Linked DNA regions of Oreochromis niloticus. The protein of the gene in region 1 purifies or fractionates together with the protein of each later gene. This does not show direct contact. Links are inferred from orthologs where the notes say so. Each region holds a gene or a part of one and is shown on either strand. Other genes may lie near its edges.

What was found. The genes of interacting proteins can lie anywhere in the genome.
Region 2: the proteins of bbs7 (region 1) and bbs4 purify together in Homo sapiens (co-immunoprecipitation; 7 studies listed by BioGRID and IntAct, counting the BioPlex papers as one, with this or other methods). This does not show direct contact. The link is inferred for Oreochromis niloticus from reciprocal best matches to the Homo sapiens genes BBS7 and BBS4.

What each region holds. Positions count from the first base shown.
Region 1 is NC_031966.2:11,820,119-11,827,770, reverse strand, and holds the start of bbs7 (BBSome complex member BBS7), read right to left. Parts: upstream 3,030-7,652; 5' UTR 2,605-3,029; coding exon 2,569-2,604; intron 2,472-2,568; coding exon 2,406-2,471; intron 1,729-2,405; coding exon 1,666-1,728; intron 1,592-1,665; coding exon 1,416-1,591; intron 1,327-1,415; coding exon 1,140-1,326; intron 1,053-1,139; coding exon 983-1,052; intron 904-982; coding exon 784-903; intron 226-783; coding exon 95-225; intron 1-94. Other genes in the region: tmem33 (transmembrane protein 33), read right to left, coding at 5,036-5,165, 5,366-5,449, 5,686-5,819, 6,258-6,325, 6,688-6,875, 6,987-7,081.
Region 2 is NC_031965.2:11,059,962-11,067,410, forward strand, and holds the start of bbs4 (BBSome complex member BBS4), read right to left. Parts: upstream 3,097-7,449; 5' UTR 3,042-3,096; coding exon of another isoform or gene 2,982-3,041; intron 674-2,981; coding exon of another isoform or gene 631-673; intron 1-630. Other genes in the region: scamp2l (secretory carrier membrane protein 2, like), read right to left, coding at 6,441-6,596, 7,206-7,326.

The DNA of each region.
Region 1 (7,652 bases):
AAATTAAGCAACAACTATTCAAAGAACTTTAGGTTTGTAACAGTTACAAAAATACAACTGTAATTCTATGGAGAGTGAATTTTTAATCACTTACATGCTCAAAGCGTAATGTCGGTTCATTAGAGCTGTCAAAGCCGTAGACCTCAACCGTCCCATCATCCCTCCCCACCAGGATATCACTCACTCCGTCACCAATAATATCATAGGTGTCAATGCAAAGAATTCCTGGGAGACAGAAAGCGTGATCGTTTTGCCAGAGGTTAAAAAATGCATAAGTTAGTATGCATGAGTATCAGTTTAAACACTGTGGAAACATAGACTGTGTATAAAATGAGATCAGATAGATCTGTTTGAGAAACAAATTGTTACTGCACGCCCATGCAGCAGACCAGTGGTCCCCAACCCCCGGGCCTCGGACCGGTACTGGTCTGTGAGTCGTTTGGTACCGGGCCGCGAGAGTTGAGGCTCAGGTGTGAAATGTATGGTTTTCAGGGTTTTTATCGGTTTTCAGTGTTATTTTGTTATCGTTAACTCGGTTTTCCTGGGTCTTTTCACTTGTGTTATGAATAAATCTTCTTTTTTTCGGTACCGGTACTAGTTTTATTTTGTTGTATTTATCCGCGACACCTTAAAGGCCGGTCTGTGAAAATATTGTCAGGCATAAACCAGTCCGTGGCGCAAAAAAGGTTGGGGACCGCTGCAGTAGACTCTGCTTTATGACTGCTTTGACTCAGAGCAATCACCCTCTGTTGGACAGTAAAAATATTGCATTTCTGTACATACCTCCTTTCTTTTTGTCATTGTCAATTTCCCATTTGGTCGCAGCTGAATGTTCACCAATCTCAACCAATCCTATTTTTCCATCTGTGGTTCCATAGAGAATTTCCTCTCCTAAAGAGAAATCTAAGAAATTAAGTTCAAACTGGTACATATAAAGCAACTTCATGCTTTATAGTTAAAGTAAACAAAGAAATCAGCTTGCCTTTATCTTTATACAGTTCCAACACAGAAGGAGGGCCAGGAACTTCTATGTCATATGCAAGTTCAGATCTCTACATACAAAACCATAAAACAATTGGCATGTCTCATCTGACAAAGAGCAACTCAAAATCAGAACAGTAAATGAGAGCTCAGTTTACCTGCAAGACTCTGAGCACTCGATCTTGGCATGCCAGGACTGGGACGAGGTGAGTGAGGTTTTCTGTGGACAAGCATGTGATGTCATTGATCTTGTCTCCAGAGAGGTAGTAGTCCTGATCTTTGCAGTCACAGTAGTGGTTGTAGATGTAACTTGCGCACACAAAAAGGTCGGAGCCTGACACATGCCTGGAAAAGACCCAGTGGGGTAAAGATGACACAGCTCTGCACAGCTCAATCGTGTAATGTAAATCAAAATGAAAAAACATAGTTCCTACATTGCATTAATGCTCTCAGTTAGGTTGGCTTCAAAAGTGAGGAACTGTTTGCCTTTCTTGGTGAATCCTCGGACCTGAGAACCAGAGCAGACAAAGATCTTTTCCTGGGGAGTTCCCGCAGCACCTCCAAGGTCCATTCGGGCTATCTTCTGCCCAGGAAGTGTTTTAAAGACGGGCTGAAACAAAGAGTCAAAAGTCTTACAAGCTGTTTGTTTCAAATCTCTGTGATGACAGGAAAATATTTACTCACCACTGCTTCCCCCTTCTTGATACCAAAACATGTGAGTATTCCATCGTGATCAGCAATAGCAACCTGAAACATGAGGAGACACCAATCGAGCACTCTAAGATTTACCAATTTCATTTTTTAGTTTAATTAATGATTGTAGAAAAGGCAAGGAATCACATCTAGAAGATAAGCCCAGTGTCAAAAGAGACCTTACATATACTATAATTTGTTTTGACCAAGCACTGATCCCAAATGGTGATATGACCTTTGAGGTTTACCCAAAATGCACTTTTTAAAGTTTTCTACAATGAACTAATAGAAAACATGTTTAATTAAAGCCTGCTGGAAAAATGGTGTTTAAATATTGTTTTGAGGCAAAGTCTATTAATTTTTATAGTGTTTTTTATGAAATTTGACTGACTATACAAGCAGTTTACATGTCCCATTGAAAACTGCCTCTTTCAATTAAACTGAAACTTCAAAACAACTGCCCAAATTACTACACAGCGTGACAAGTCTTACTTATTGAAGGGCTCTGGTAAAGCAATTATTTATCAAAAATCAATGTCATTGGTTTTGATTTCTTACCATCTAATAAACAAAATTAGTATTACAGTTAAATAAACTAAAACCCAAACAAGGTTACATTTTTTAAACATCTGCAGTCTTCAGCAAAAGCAGGAAAACAATCTGGATTTAGTCAGAAAACAAGAAAACACATTTTAATTAATTTAGGTTACTGTATGGCTCATAAACGATACCTTTTGGGTTGCCTTTTTTCCCAGTGGAGGAAGAAGCCTCATAGTTTTCTGAGATGTCACGCCAACCTGAGAGGTAGAATGGAGGGGAACTTTTACTCCTAATATTAATAAAAGAAAAAGAAAAAAAGACAGCAGAAACCCGACGTGGTCTGCTTTGTTTTACCTGAATGTAATCAACTCTATTGAGGCGAAGATCCATCTTCTTTCTCTACTGTGTTTCAACTTAAGTAGAAACAAAAATCTGCAAATAGTCCAAGAAGGTTATTCAGACATTACTCTTGCCCCATAGCCGTCCGTTACCATTAACATTTTGTCAGAAAAACGTTCAACCCAATTCCAAGACGATAACGATGCTAGCTGAGACTGGGATTATCTAAAGCAAGTGGATTAGCTCAACGTGCTAGCTTTAGCTATCGGAGCTAACTGGTACTGGCACGCAGTCTTCCTCAAAGACCGAAAATCATCTTTAAAAAAGACACGAAGGAAGTCGATGTGTGTAGATGTGAGCGCGGATAAATTTTCATTAAACGCTGATATCAGGTATAAACGATCTGTGCAGCATTTTCAGACTTGAAGAGGGCAGTTGCCGTTGCTAATGGCAACGTTGCAGGCTGTAACAAAACTGCAATTCCACTGGTTGAAAGGGAGTAACAGACATTGAAGCTGTGTTCTGATTGGCTAACTCATTCACGTTTTCCACCCTGTGCGTCATGTCACTTCTACAGCTGGCAGAAAATACAATAATACATGAAAGACAAAAAGAGAAATGAAACATAAAAGCAGCAAATAATGACCATAATCTTTTTAAAAGTGGCCAAAGCGTGCCATTTTGCCAGTAATGTGAAAAATCCCATTAGCCTTTTGAATTTTCAAAGCTTTGGAAACAACTGATTAGTTTTTACTAAAGGATCTGTACCAACTTTTACTCTTTCTCTATTTTTGGGAAATACAAAATTGACTACTTATCCAGACCCTCTTGGCACCTCTCATTTTTAAACATAAAACACCATTTAATTTTCGTGACACATTTATTATGCCAATGTTGAAGGTGCTTAAAAGTCATAGTCATATTTCTTTATACACACCATTAATAAACACAGTCCTTTAGCTACACAAATGCTGGCACATACTGTAGAGAAACTCAAATTTGGTTTTAGTGATGGTATCTTGTCAGAGTTGTCTTGAAAATTGTCTTCTTTCTTGTGTTTTCAGATGACTAACTGGTGTTGTCAAAAGTAATCAGGGAAGAATACGTGTCTGAACTTAAATGGACAGAATAAGCTCTTTTTACTCTCCCACATAAATACCTGTTGCATCATAAAATCAAAGAACTCTTATTTAAAATGATACATAAATATCACACATTATTTATTTTTTTGGCAAATATATCCCAGATAAATGGCATGCTGTGTGTCTATAAGATTTATTTGATATGTATGTGTAAAATTGTTTTTAGGTTTAATTGGAAACCACTTAAAAACAATGTACTCATAGGGTATGAACAATTATTCACTAACTCACATTTCTCTAGTAAGAAACAATATACATTAACACTGTAATTATCTGTGATAAATACTTTTATATTAGATCTATGCTTTGAATAAATATTAAAAACAGGCATAAATAAATCCTTATTAGGATTTGTTCATATCGAAGTCAACTATTATAATGCAAGAACTTATTGGTACCAAACCCAATTAGCATTCTTCAACACTGTGTTTGTTTAGGAGATAACTTTATTGTCATTATAAAAATGTGGTTTGTCTGTAGGCAAGTAAACACAATTAACATGGCAGGGAAAGAAAAACATACCAGAGCATGCATTAAGCAAGAAACCTATAGCCTAATAAGAAATGAATGACTCAAAATCAAAACAGCTTTTAAACTGAGAAATGAGGTCAGAGTGCATTCATAAGCATGGCATGCTTTCTGCAAGTTATTCCATTTGTGAATCATACAGCAGAACATCTGGTACCTTAAAATATCCTATAAAATACAGCAGATTATTTTCTCAGTTTAACATCCATTTGACATCATAGCTACATAAGATTTTGCATGTTGCTGAAATGTGAGCCAATGGCATTGATAGAATACATTTAATAATTAGGCTTTAGACAAATAAGAGCATTGGATGCTTTACAAATCAGACATAGTTAGAACCTGAAAAAGTACAATATGATTATTTAAAGAAATGATCAGAATCCATTGTTTATAAACACATGTTCATTAATTTACTAATCTCAGAATGTTAATGTTTCATTATATAATAAGTGATTTTAATGAATAAATAAGACATGAAAGGAAAGAATGATAACAGCCGATAAACGGAACACAGCTGATGTCAAGCTAATGTGCTCAGCCCATCGAAGGTAACAGAACAACAGGATGTCCACCGCTTCAATGAGGTCACATTAAAAGGATGGAAAATCAAATATCAGCATGAGCCTTCAGTGCATTACTGGCTGGTCTTCAGCTGCACTCAGATACACAAAAATTGGAGCACAGACTGTAAAGTTGACATTCAAAAAAACGGTTCCTTCCATTGATGGCAAAGTCTTTCCCCATCGAAGTTAAGTCACATCGTACATCTTACTGAAAAACAACACATGAGGAAAACAAATTTAGTGTAATCAAACCCCCGTGGGGGCGAGGCGGCTGATAAAGGCGATACTGCTGAGGCACATCCTCCTGAAGAAGGCAGGGCAGGCAGGCTTCATGATGAAATGCTCCAAAAGAATTCGCAGCTCGGTGAACAAGGTGCTGAGACAGAAAGAAAAGTACTTCACTCGGATTGTATTGAAAGTAAATCTAATCTAATCTTTGTACCTTCTGAATAGCAGGGCATGAAAACTCTAAACAGAAGGGCCATGTCCTGGGTTGAACCCCAGAGCCTCTTGCTGTGAAGCAACAGCGCAACACCATGTTGCTATGTGACAATAACAGATAATTCAAAATCTTACCGGCAATATGGATTTCTTCTGGATGTGTAGCGCAGAGTGAGGAATCGGTAATAAATGAAAGGCAGCAATAGGCTCCCCTGGCCGCTGTTGACAAAATATTATTGACATGAACATGTGAAAACTGGACACTCTGTATTAAGATTACAAAGAAGGGCTTGCATTTGTTGAGATAAAACTGATACATATTTATGAGATTAACACAACAACAACAACAAAACAATCACTGCCAGTAATCAATATTAACATATCACTAGATTAGGGATGCTACAATGGGTCTTCACAAAAGAAATCCTTCACAAAAGAAACAGTTGTACGCATACCTGAACAGCATAAAAATAGTTGCTGGCATCAAGAAGATCTCATTACAGGCAATAAACTTCAGGATATTCTGCTGATTAGATGTCAGTTTGTCCAGGAGGCCCCGGATAAACATCATGCTGTTTGGGCCCATGGTCTAAAAGAAACAAAAAATAGTCACAAAGTGAAATGAAAGATTTGGCAAATTAACATTTTGAAAGGAGCAGTGGGAGCAAGAAGTAAAAGGTAAAGGAAAACACATTAGAAATCATTAGCTTCCAGATTTTAAGTTGTGTCTAAATGGTACATTATACTTTCATAGTTCCATTTAACTGTAACAGTTAACTATAAAGTTCTTTACGATGTGTTTCTAATTTACCTAATCTATCTCAAACACGCACACACACACCAACAGGAGCAGAGCAGCCATGTAAAGCGCTGCTCTGTTGCCATTGTGTGAATCCAACCACAAACCTTCTCTGCTGCCTCAGACATGGTGGTCTGGCTGGTACTAATATCCCAGCTTGTGGCTAAATAATGTTTAAACTGATTTCACAGTAATTTTCAATAAGTCACTGTGGTGACTCATACTTACATCAAGAACTTTCTTTGTGTAGGTAGTTGCGTGAAGCAAGGAAAAAAGAAAAACTGGAAAGATGCTCACTGGACAAGAAGGTTAAGGTTAAATAACAGAAAAGAACAACTTCCTCCTAAATAATACAATAGTAAGGGAGCATGATTGCACCTATGGAAAAACTAAATCTTTCACTGCTAAGACTAATTGATTTGTAATACTGCAGGTCTGAATCCTATTGAATGTCTCAAAACGAACCCTTTAAGGAATCCTATCAGACTGTCTTTGGAAAAAAACTGCAGCAACAAGTAAATAGTGAATCACTGTCCAACTATAACAGTGAAATAGTGTTTCATTATTGTTTAAAACTAAAAAAACAAAACACACAATGTATGTAGCAATGCTATCATCTCCATTTAAACTTGCAGACTTGCTCACAATGAAAGGATACTTGTAATGGGGTAGGAGTTGACCAGGATGAGTGAGTAGAGCAGGTAATGACAGCTGTCCTCCTGCAGAGCCTGGGCCAAGAAAGCTCTGCTCAGCTGAAAGCGTGGAAGCCTCTGGTGTAAGCGAAGAGCACTGGTGAGGGCATTCGCTAACAACGCTCTCTGATAGAAGTTAGCTGCTGCATAAGGTCTGAAATATACAAGCAGTGACAAACACTCAAATGCTGATTTAGATTGGTTTATAACTACTTTTAAAGCTAATCAACATTTATAATTAGATGATTTTCCACAGTGAACTCACCCCAAAACTGGTAGAATGAACATTACAGAGCAATAGACAGTGAAGAGTCGTGACAGCCACATTGCAGTTTCCAGCTTGTTGCTCATCAGAAATTGCTGCAGAGACACAAAGATGGTTAACATTAAACCCAACCAATCCCTTGTTCTTGTCTCCACTCTTCTCATATATACTGGTAGCAGATTTACTGACTTTAAACTTACACTCAGGTTCTCTCAGTGGCTAGCATACAAAATTCATCCAAACTAAAAAGCATCTTAATGCAATCTACAAGTTAATTTTACCGCCTTGCCTTCAAAAGTCAGGGGGCAGCTGCAACTCATCCTGCTCATCCTCATTCAACTGATGTTGCTCAAGTGAATGATTGGTAGCACATGTCATCCAACTCTTGCAAACAGCACTGAAATACATGCCACACATGCCTACTCTACTTGCCCCCTAAGATAAACACACACGTTTGGGTGTCAAAATTACAGATTTGGGATGAAATCATTCCAATTATATGTAGAAAATAAAACAATCTAGGGCTAAAGCACTCAAATAAATAATCCCAATTAAAAAAAAAAGTAAACTGTTCAGTAAAAAAAACTATGCATAGCACATCCATTTTGTAAGGGCCTCAAGATATCTTAAATCTTAGCAAAACTGTTCCCAATTTCTTCAAAATAT
Region 2 (7,449 bases), on another chromosome or scaffold:
CATCTCAATTTTAAAGTTCCTCTGCGTTCAGGTTGTTTTCAAGTCTGCTCCCATTGGTGTATGTGTATTCGTCTCCTAAAATCCAATCTTTACTTTCTGTTTTTTTTAACTTAGTTAGAACAGGGGTGTGTCTTCGAATCATATTAAGTACAACCCAGGAAAGGGTTTGCATGCTAAATAAAAATTATCATTACCACATCATAGCATGTATTCAACTGCTTCCACAGAGATGCAATTCTCAGTAGCTCTGATTATTATTATTATTACAAAGCACTATAAAAGAAAAAAAGACAAAATATCTGTGGGCAGAAGTATAAACTATTTAATGGCACATTAGGCTTCAATAATGATGACAAAACATCCTCTAATGATCACCAGACATTTTCTACACAGAGAAATATCTGGAAAATGGCTCAGCAGCATAATGTAGCCACAGCCTGTTCCTTACAGCGGAAACAAACAGAAGGGTGAGGGTGACCTCTGCAGGCCGTTCACTTCCAAAACCTTTAGTTTCAGTTATCAACACTTAACCAACTTTTAGAAATGAATTTTAAAAAAATGAATGTCACACAACGACATGAAAATAATTCAATTAATTTCAGAACATGACCTGCAGTACTTTCACTGTACCTTTAGGCGCCCGACGTTTCTTGGGTTCAGTAGCAACAGGGAGCTGAAATATGTGACAAACAACACAAGCAGAAAAATAAATAACAGCAAACAGGAGTCTGAAAGTCAAGTGAAAAAGAAAAGCTTCCTCAGGACTCTCAGGACTCTATGCAGACCTGTGAAAAGCTACATCGATCCTTACTTCTTCTATATGAATTAAGAAGGTCAGTAGCAGCCAGCCAATCAGATGCACTTAATTAACTGATCATCGGCAAGTGTGAGCACCTCTATCAAAGATGATGTTTTCTTTTAGTTTGCTGGTTTGGAGCAAACAGGTGTGTTTTAACACAATGCAACAACCTTCCCAGAAGTGGGCGTCCCTTCAAAATCACCCCAAGGTCAGATGCTTACTGCTCAGAGAAAATGCAGAAAAAAAATCCAAGCACTACATCTCAGACTCTAAAGGCCTCAGTTTGCATGTTACAATTTAAAGTTCATGACAGCACAATTAGAAAAAACAATTATGGCTTTTCTGGTAGGATTGCCAGGAGAAAGCCTGGCATCACAGCTTAGGTTTGAACCAAACTCCAAAAGTTCTGAAAAATGTCCACTGGACAGATGAGATCAAAGTACAGATCTTTGGTCATGATGCACAGCGCTGTGTATGGTAAAGATCAACACAGCATATCAGCACAAACACCTCATACCAATACCATGGGTGTGTTTTGTAGCCACAGGGCCTGAGCACCATGTTATTGAGTCGATCACGAACTCTCCTGCATACTAAAGTGCAAGAGAATGGCTGAAAAAGAAAACAATCAAGGTGTTGCAATTGTCCAGTTAAAGTCCACACCAAAACCTGACTGAAATGCTCTGCCAGGACCTTAAGAGAACTGTGCATAAACAAATGCTCACAAACCTTAATGAAGTGAAGCAACTTTGTGAAGATAAAGTCATGCAAACAAGTATTACTAATAATTATTACAAGTTATTGCTTTTACATGGTACCTCTACAGGCTATTGAATCATGGGGTGTACTTGGTTTCTCAGAGCACTGCACAGAGTCCTGCAAAAACACATGACTTTTCACATGACTGTGTGGTACACAGTAAAATAATCCTTGGGCAGCCCTCACCAAAATACAGAAAATCCTGTCCACTCAAAAACTGATAAAAGGCTGTGTGGAAATGTGGGCCAACAAGCTGAATGACATGTGTGTTGACCTAATGAACAGAGAGAGGAAAAAAAACTATTTCCCAATCAAAGAGTAGAAGCATGCAGATCTACTGCCAGTCTATGGTGTACTGCATGTCCTACTCCAGGACTACAGCTGATTCTAATTGTATATGCCTTTGCTAGATAAAGAATGAATTGAACTGCTCTGCACAAGCTCACATGTCATCTTCCTCCCTCCATACACCATAAAAAAATGTATATATAATGTGTAGGGTTGGATAGACTTGGTGACAAAGAGCTGCCTATTTGTCACCAATTCAGTTTATAACTTCTATGGACAGAATTTCTAGGCATAACCAAAACATACTGGAGAGATTATGTCTCTCGACTGCTCTCTCTTTTCAGTGTTCCTCCAGAACAGCTGGAGGAGGTGACTTGGGAGAGGGCTGTTTGGGGGTCTCTGCCAGACTGCTGCCACCACATCCCGAATAACCATTAAATGAAAGGATGAATGGACAGATATATTAAATGAATACATTTAATTCAAATTTTTGAGATGTAGCGGTAAACTTTTGCAATGTAACGTGCTCCTGTGTATGCTCTGTTCAGTGACTGCAACAACAGTAACATTTGCTATCTTCGAAATGTACAGGTAGATGCACGCATGCGCAGTTCTTCTCGCATCACATATTTTTCTTCCCATATTTGACCTCACTTGTGGATTGTTTTGGATGTGGTTGCTGATGCTTAGCAGTTTATTGATATTCTCTACATTTCATTACACGCTGAAAGCTATTGTGCCACAGCGATAATAGAACTGCGATTGGTGGTAAGCCGGTTAATGAAAAGCTGCTTGATAACGTTTTCTACGTTATCGTATATTAAGGGTGGGCTAAAGCTTCCCAAACAGTCCACAGCAACCCTGCCACAGCTACAGCTGTCAGTGTTAAGGTTTAAATTTGCCCTTGAGTGAGTGAGATTAGTCTCGCAAGTTGCCTTTAGCTGCAGCTTAATCAACTTAGCGCCGACTTAGAATAGGCTAGCCACCTAGCTAACTAACGTTCAAGTCAGCGTTATAGAAAGCGTGTGGCAAAACCTGGAGTCGGGCTTTCTCGCGAAGTGTCACACTTTCATTGTATTTCGAGTCAAGTTTGTGTTTATTCAAGAAAAGGAGGAGCAGCTCGCATCGCACTCACCGTTGCGGTTGTTTCCGCGTCCGCCATCTTGGGATGATCAACACTAGAAGCTGTTGCCATGGATACGTCAATGGCGCGCAGACACGTAGCTGGTTGGATTTGTGCTCTGGGACCGATTAAAGAAAAAAACTTTATTTACAAAAAAAGGGTTTAAGAACCATTTTTACTGATAAAGCCACGTCACATTAAATGCATTAGCCAACCCCTTCCTCTACTTATTGACTTTAGCTTAGCTACACAAAATTAATCATTCAAGAAAAAAAATGAAATGCTGATTTTCGGTTTCATTCGCAAACAAAAACACAGCTATAGTTCAGGTTATTTATTTATTTTATTTTATTTTTCTCCCAACACCTTTAACAGGGTAGATGTCCATTAAGACTGACTTTACTCTCAGTCTGCGTCACTGTCGGCAAACTCTAACAGTCACGTGGTCATATATAGATGTTGGGTCTGCCAGTGGATGTGACAAGAGATCATAGGTCCATGGTTATGTGTGTCTCTCAGTAAAGACGGTCAGTGTAGTATACAGAATCCGACCATATATTTCTGTGTGTTTTAGATTTTTCCTTTGCTTATAAACAAAATACATCTAGTAATGCAAACAGGGCACACAAACACCAGAATTGTGGCTTTTTCATGTTTCGAATTTGCAATCTTTCACCTTTTTCACTCTATAGGATTCTATGTAGTCTTAATAAATAAGTACACCACATGATTCAGTAGCTTGTAAAATCACCCTTAGCAGCAAGAACTTAAACTAATAATTTTCTGTATGACTTTATCAGTCTTTCAAATCATTGCAGAGGAATTTTGGCCCACTCTTCTTTACAGCATTTCTTTAGCTCATTGAGGTTTGCAGATATGTGTTTATGCACAGCATTTCAGTCAGGTTGAGGTCTGGACTTTGACCGGGCCATTGCAATCTTTTCTTTTCATAGAATTGATGCTGTGCTTGGGATCTGTGTCCTGTTGTGTATCATCACTTTTATAGACTCTTTTGGTATACAGAGGAGTTCATGGCTAACTTAGTGACTGCAAGGTGCCCAGATCCCATAGCTGCAAAACAAGGCCAAATCATCACCCTTCCTTAGTATAAGGTGTTTTGTGCTGATCTCTCCTAAGAGCTGTGCTGCCATGTTCTTCTTCAAGACCAAGAATTCCTCCTGGCAACCCTTAAAGCAAGTCATATTTGTTTAATAAATGTACTGTAATAAACTTTAACGTTGAAATGTAGTTCTTGTGTGTAAACACTGCAATAAAATAAATTTGCTGACATCCACTCCTGGGAAGATTGTGGCGATGTGTTAAAACTTGTGTGAATGAGCCAGAATGACATTGTCTATTAGGCAGAATGTACACTGATTAGGCATGCTGTTATGACCAGCTACCTATTATTATGTTGGTCACCCCTTTTTCTGTCGAGGCATGGATCCCACTAGACCCATGAAGATGTGCTGTAATAAAAGATCAGTTGATGTTAGTAACAGACTCTTTAAATCCTGTAAGTTGGGCTGAAGTTCAGCAGAGGAAGGGGGTCAGCATGGACACTGACATTCTCACACCTTTCTATGAGAACCACGTTTAAATATTTTGGGCAATTTGAGCTATAGTAGCTCGCCTGTTGGATCGGACCACACAGGACAGCCCATAACCCTGTCGCTGGTTCACCACTGTTCCTTCCTTGGACCACTTTTGATAGATAATAATACGCTTCTAACAAGACCACTTCCAAGACTTCAATTCAGAATTTTATAGACAGTACAGTTTATTGAATGTTAAGATTTCCAATGCATACCCCAGCAGTAAATATGTTTAAATAAGTCACCGATATTTACATAATCTTAACACATTCTGATCACAAGAAAACTTCACCAGTTGTTCCACAGGCTACAGATAAAAAAAAGAGAATTAACAGCCTTGAACTTGAATCCTCACACAAAGATTTGTATGTTACTGTTTAAAGGCACTGAGGTACAAACATCAGATCAGGAGTATACAGTATTTATATACTTTACACACACACACACACACACACACACAGTCACACACACACAGAGAAAGGGATGAAAACACTAAAACCTAATTCCAAGTAGGTGCAGCTAGAAAAAACAGGAAATTAAGTTAACATGTAGTAAAACTAACATGGGCACAAAGTCAAAAATATTGTTCTTTCTACTCATTAATGCACTTTTCATGTAAATACATTCAAATTCTATACTTTCAATAACTTTACATGAATAAACCCGTACCCCCCCTTTTATTTTAATCACTGCAAGTCTCTGTATTATGCCAAGTTTTCTTAACATGAATTAAAATGTAACATCTTCATTTGCTTCAAGAACAGCTTTAAGCCTCACTTCATTAAAAAAAAAAAAAATCAGTAAACAGATTAAAACAGTACAAATGACCTCTTTATCCCATCACCTTCATTAATCAGCAGCTCATCCTATTGTCATATACACATCAAAACATCAAATTTGGAGAGCAAAGTTCAAACTGCACAGTAATGTAACAGTATGCATTTATTATCATTTATACTTTTACAGGACATCTGAGAGGAAGGCAACTGTGCATAAAGTGTATTATTGGTATTAATGCACTTATAGTCAGGACAGTTATCCTGCAAGGTTTTGCATGCTGCTGTAATGCGAAAAACATTTAGTGGATCCATCGCTCACAGATGGAAAAAAACATTCTCATGTCAAGTGAGAATCCAAACTTGGACAAAGAGTTTATATTTCAAGCCTCAGTATGTCATTCCTACATTAGCAGGGAAAAATCCTGATACTTTTTACTGGGATCTTTAAGGATTACTGGATTTAAATCAGTGTTTCTTGTATTGCAGATAATCTCACATGTATCTCTTTAGTCTACTCTGTTAAATGCTTTCAATAGCTATGCAGTGATGAAATGTTGTAATTTTATTTGTGTGGGGTCCTCACCTTGCCCTCTATCTAAACCCCAGCTTCAGATTTCCTACTGGACATTTCCCTAAAGCATAAATGAATATGACATATGCTGATGAGATCTGTGCAGGTCTTTACAAGTTCCATCCATTTTATTTTTGCATTTTATAATCTTTTTACCTTTTTTTTTTTTAAATTAATGTGCCGTCCCATTATCAGTTCATCTGTGAAGCTCTTTGAATTGCACTGTCCTTCATCAAAGATGCTATACAAATAAAGTTTAACTGAAAGTAGGGTCCTATTCCTATAAGATGATTTTATGTCTTTAGCTACGCATCTACCTAAATTACACCATTTTTTTTTATTATTTAGTTTTTTGGTGGACATGGAGAATGGAGACACCCCACTTGGTATATACTCATAAGTTACTTGCTTTTTGCCCTTTTCCCTAAAAATTCCTTTACACCAACTGGATAATGTTGGGACGTGGCTAGCCCGGTATGCTGGTCAGAAAAGAGAATAGCCAGAGACACAAAACTTGTAGAAATCACTAATTTTCCTGGCTCCTGCCAAAGGCTCCCTGGGCAGCGGAGGTAGCAGCGGTGGTTGCAGCATTTTGGACAGTTCGGTTGGTCAGGACACCTTGTGAAAACTCCTGCTGGGCCTTGGTGAAGCTGGCACCTGTGTTTCTGTATTTAGAATGGACCTGGGATGATAGGAAAAGACAGAAAATTGTAAACAATGACAGGCGATCAAATGATGAAACCGTGTTTAACCTGCTGGTTCTTGTAAGGTTCAGGCCATGGTTCTTATGTCTACAAAGGAGATCATGAGTTCAGTTTCATTCATCTGTTAGTGAGGAGGATATCTGAAAATACAATACATGTCTAGTGGAGAGTTATGAGCCAAGGAACAGATTATTGTTTTAAGAGTTGTATTTGTTTGTCCCCCACTTTTTGCATTAAGATGAAATATTATGTCCACTTTCTAATGAATTATCGTCTTTATAAACCAAAAGACACTCCAGGAACTTCTACATGGAGGAAAGTCTGTAGAGTAAGTGCATTCAGCACACACACTTGGTTTGAATATTTCCTCTGAAGCCATTTTGTCACCCCGCGATTTTTAGTTTGTCTTTGACGTAGCTTCCAGATATAAATGAGAAAACTCAACAACTAAAACATGTTTAAAATACTTTGCTTAGGGTTATTCAGTTCATCAAGATACATTATATTAAACCTGACAGGTTCATAATAAAGTAATGAGATTACCTCTAAAAGTAATATATGTAAACAGAGGTTTTACTTTTGCGTACCATTTTCAGCAGGATGATAGCCAGCACAGAGTTTACAGTGAAAAATCCAGCCACTACCATCATAACCACAGCCACAGCCAGGTTTTTCTTGCTGATCATGGTGATTGATGTTATCCATCCACTGTCAAAACCAGAAACATGCAAGAGGAAAAAAGGTGTAATTGCACATTTTCTCTATAATTATTATATACAGTATATTATATTATACTGAAAGTTTTTTTTTTGTGGATTAAAGAGAAATACA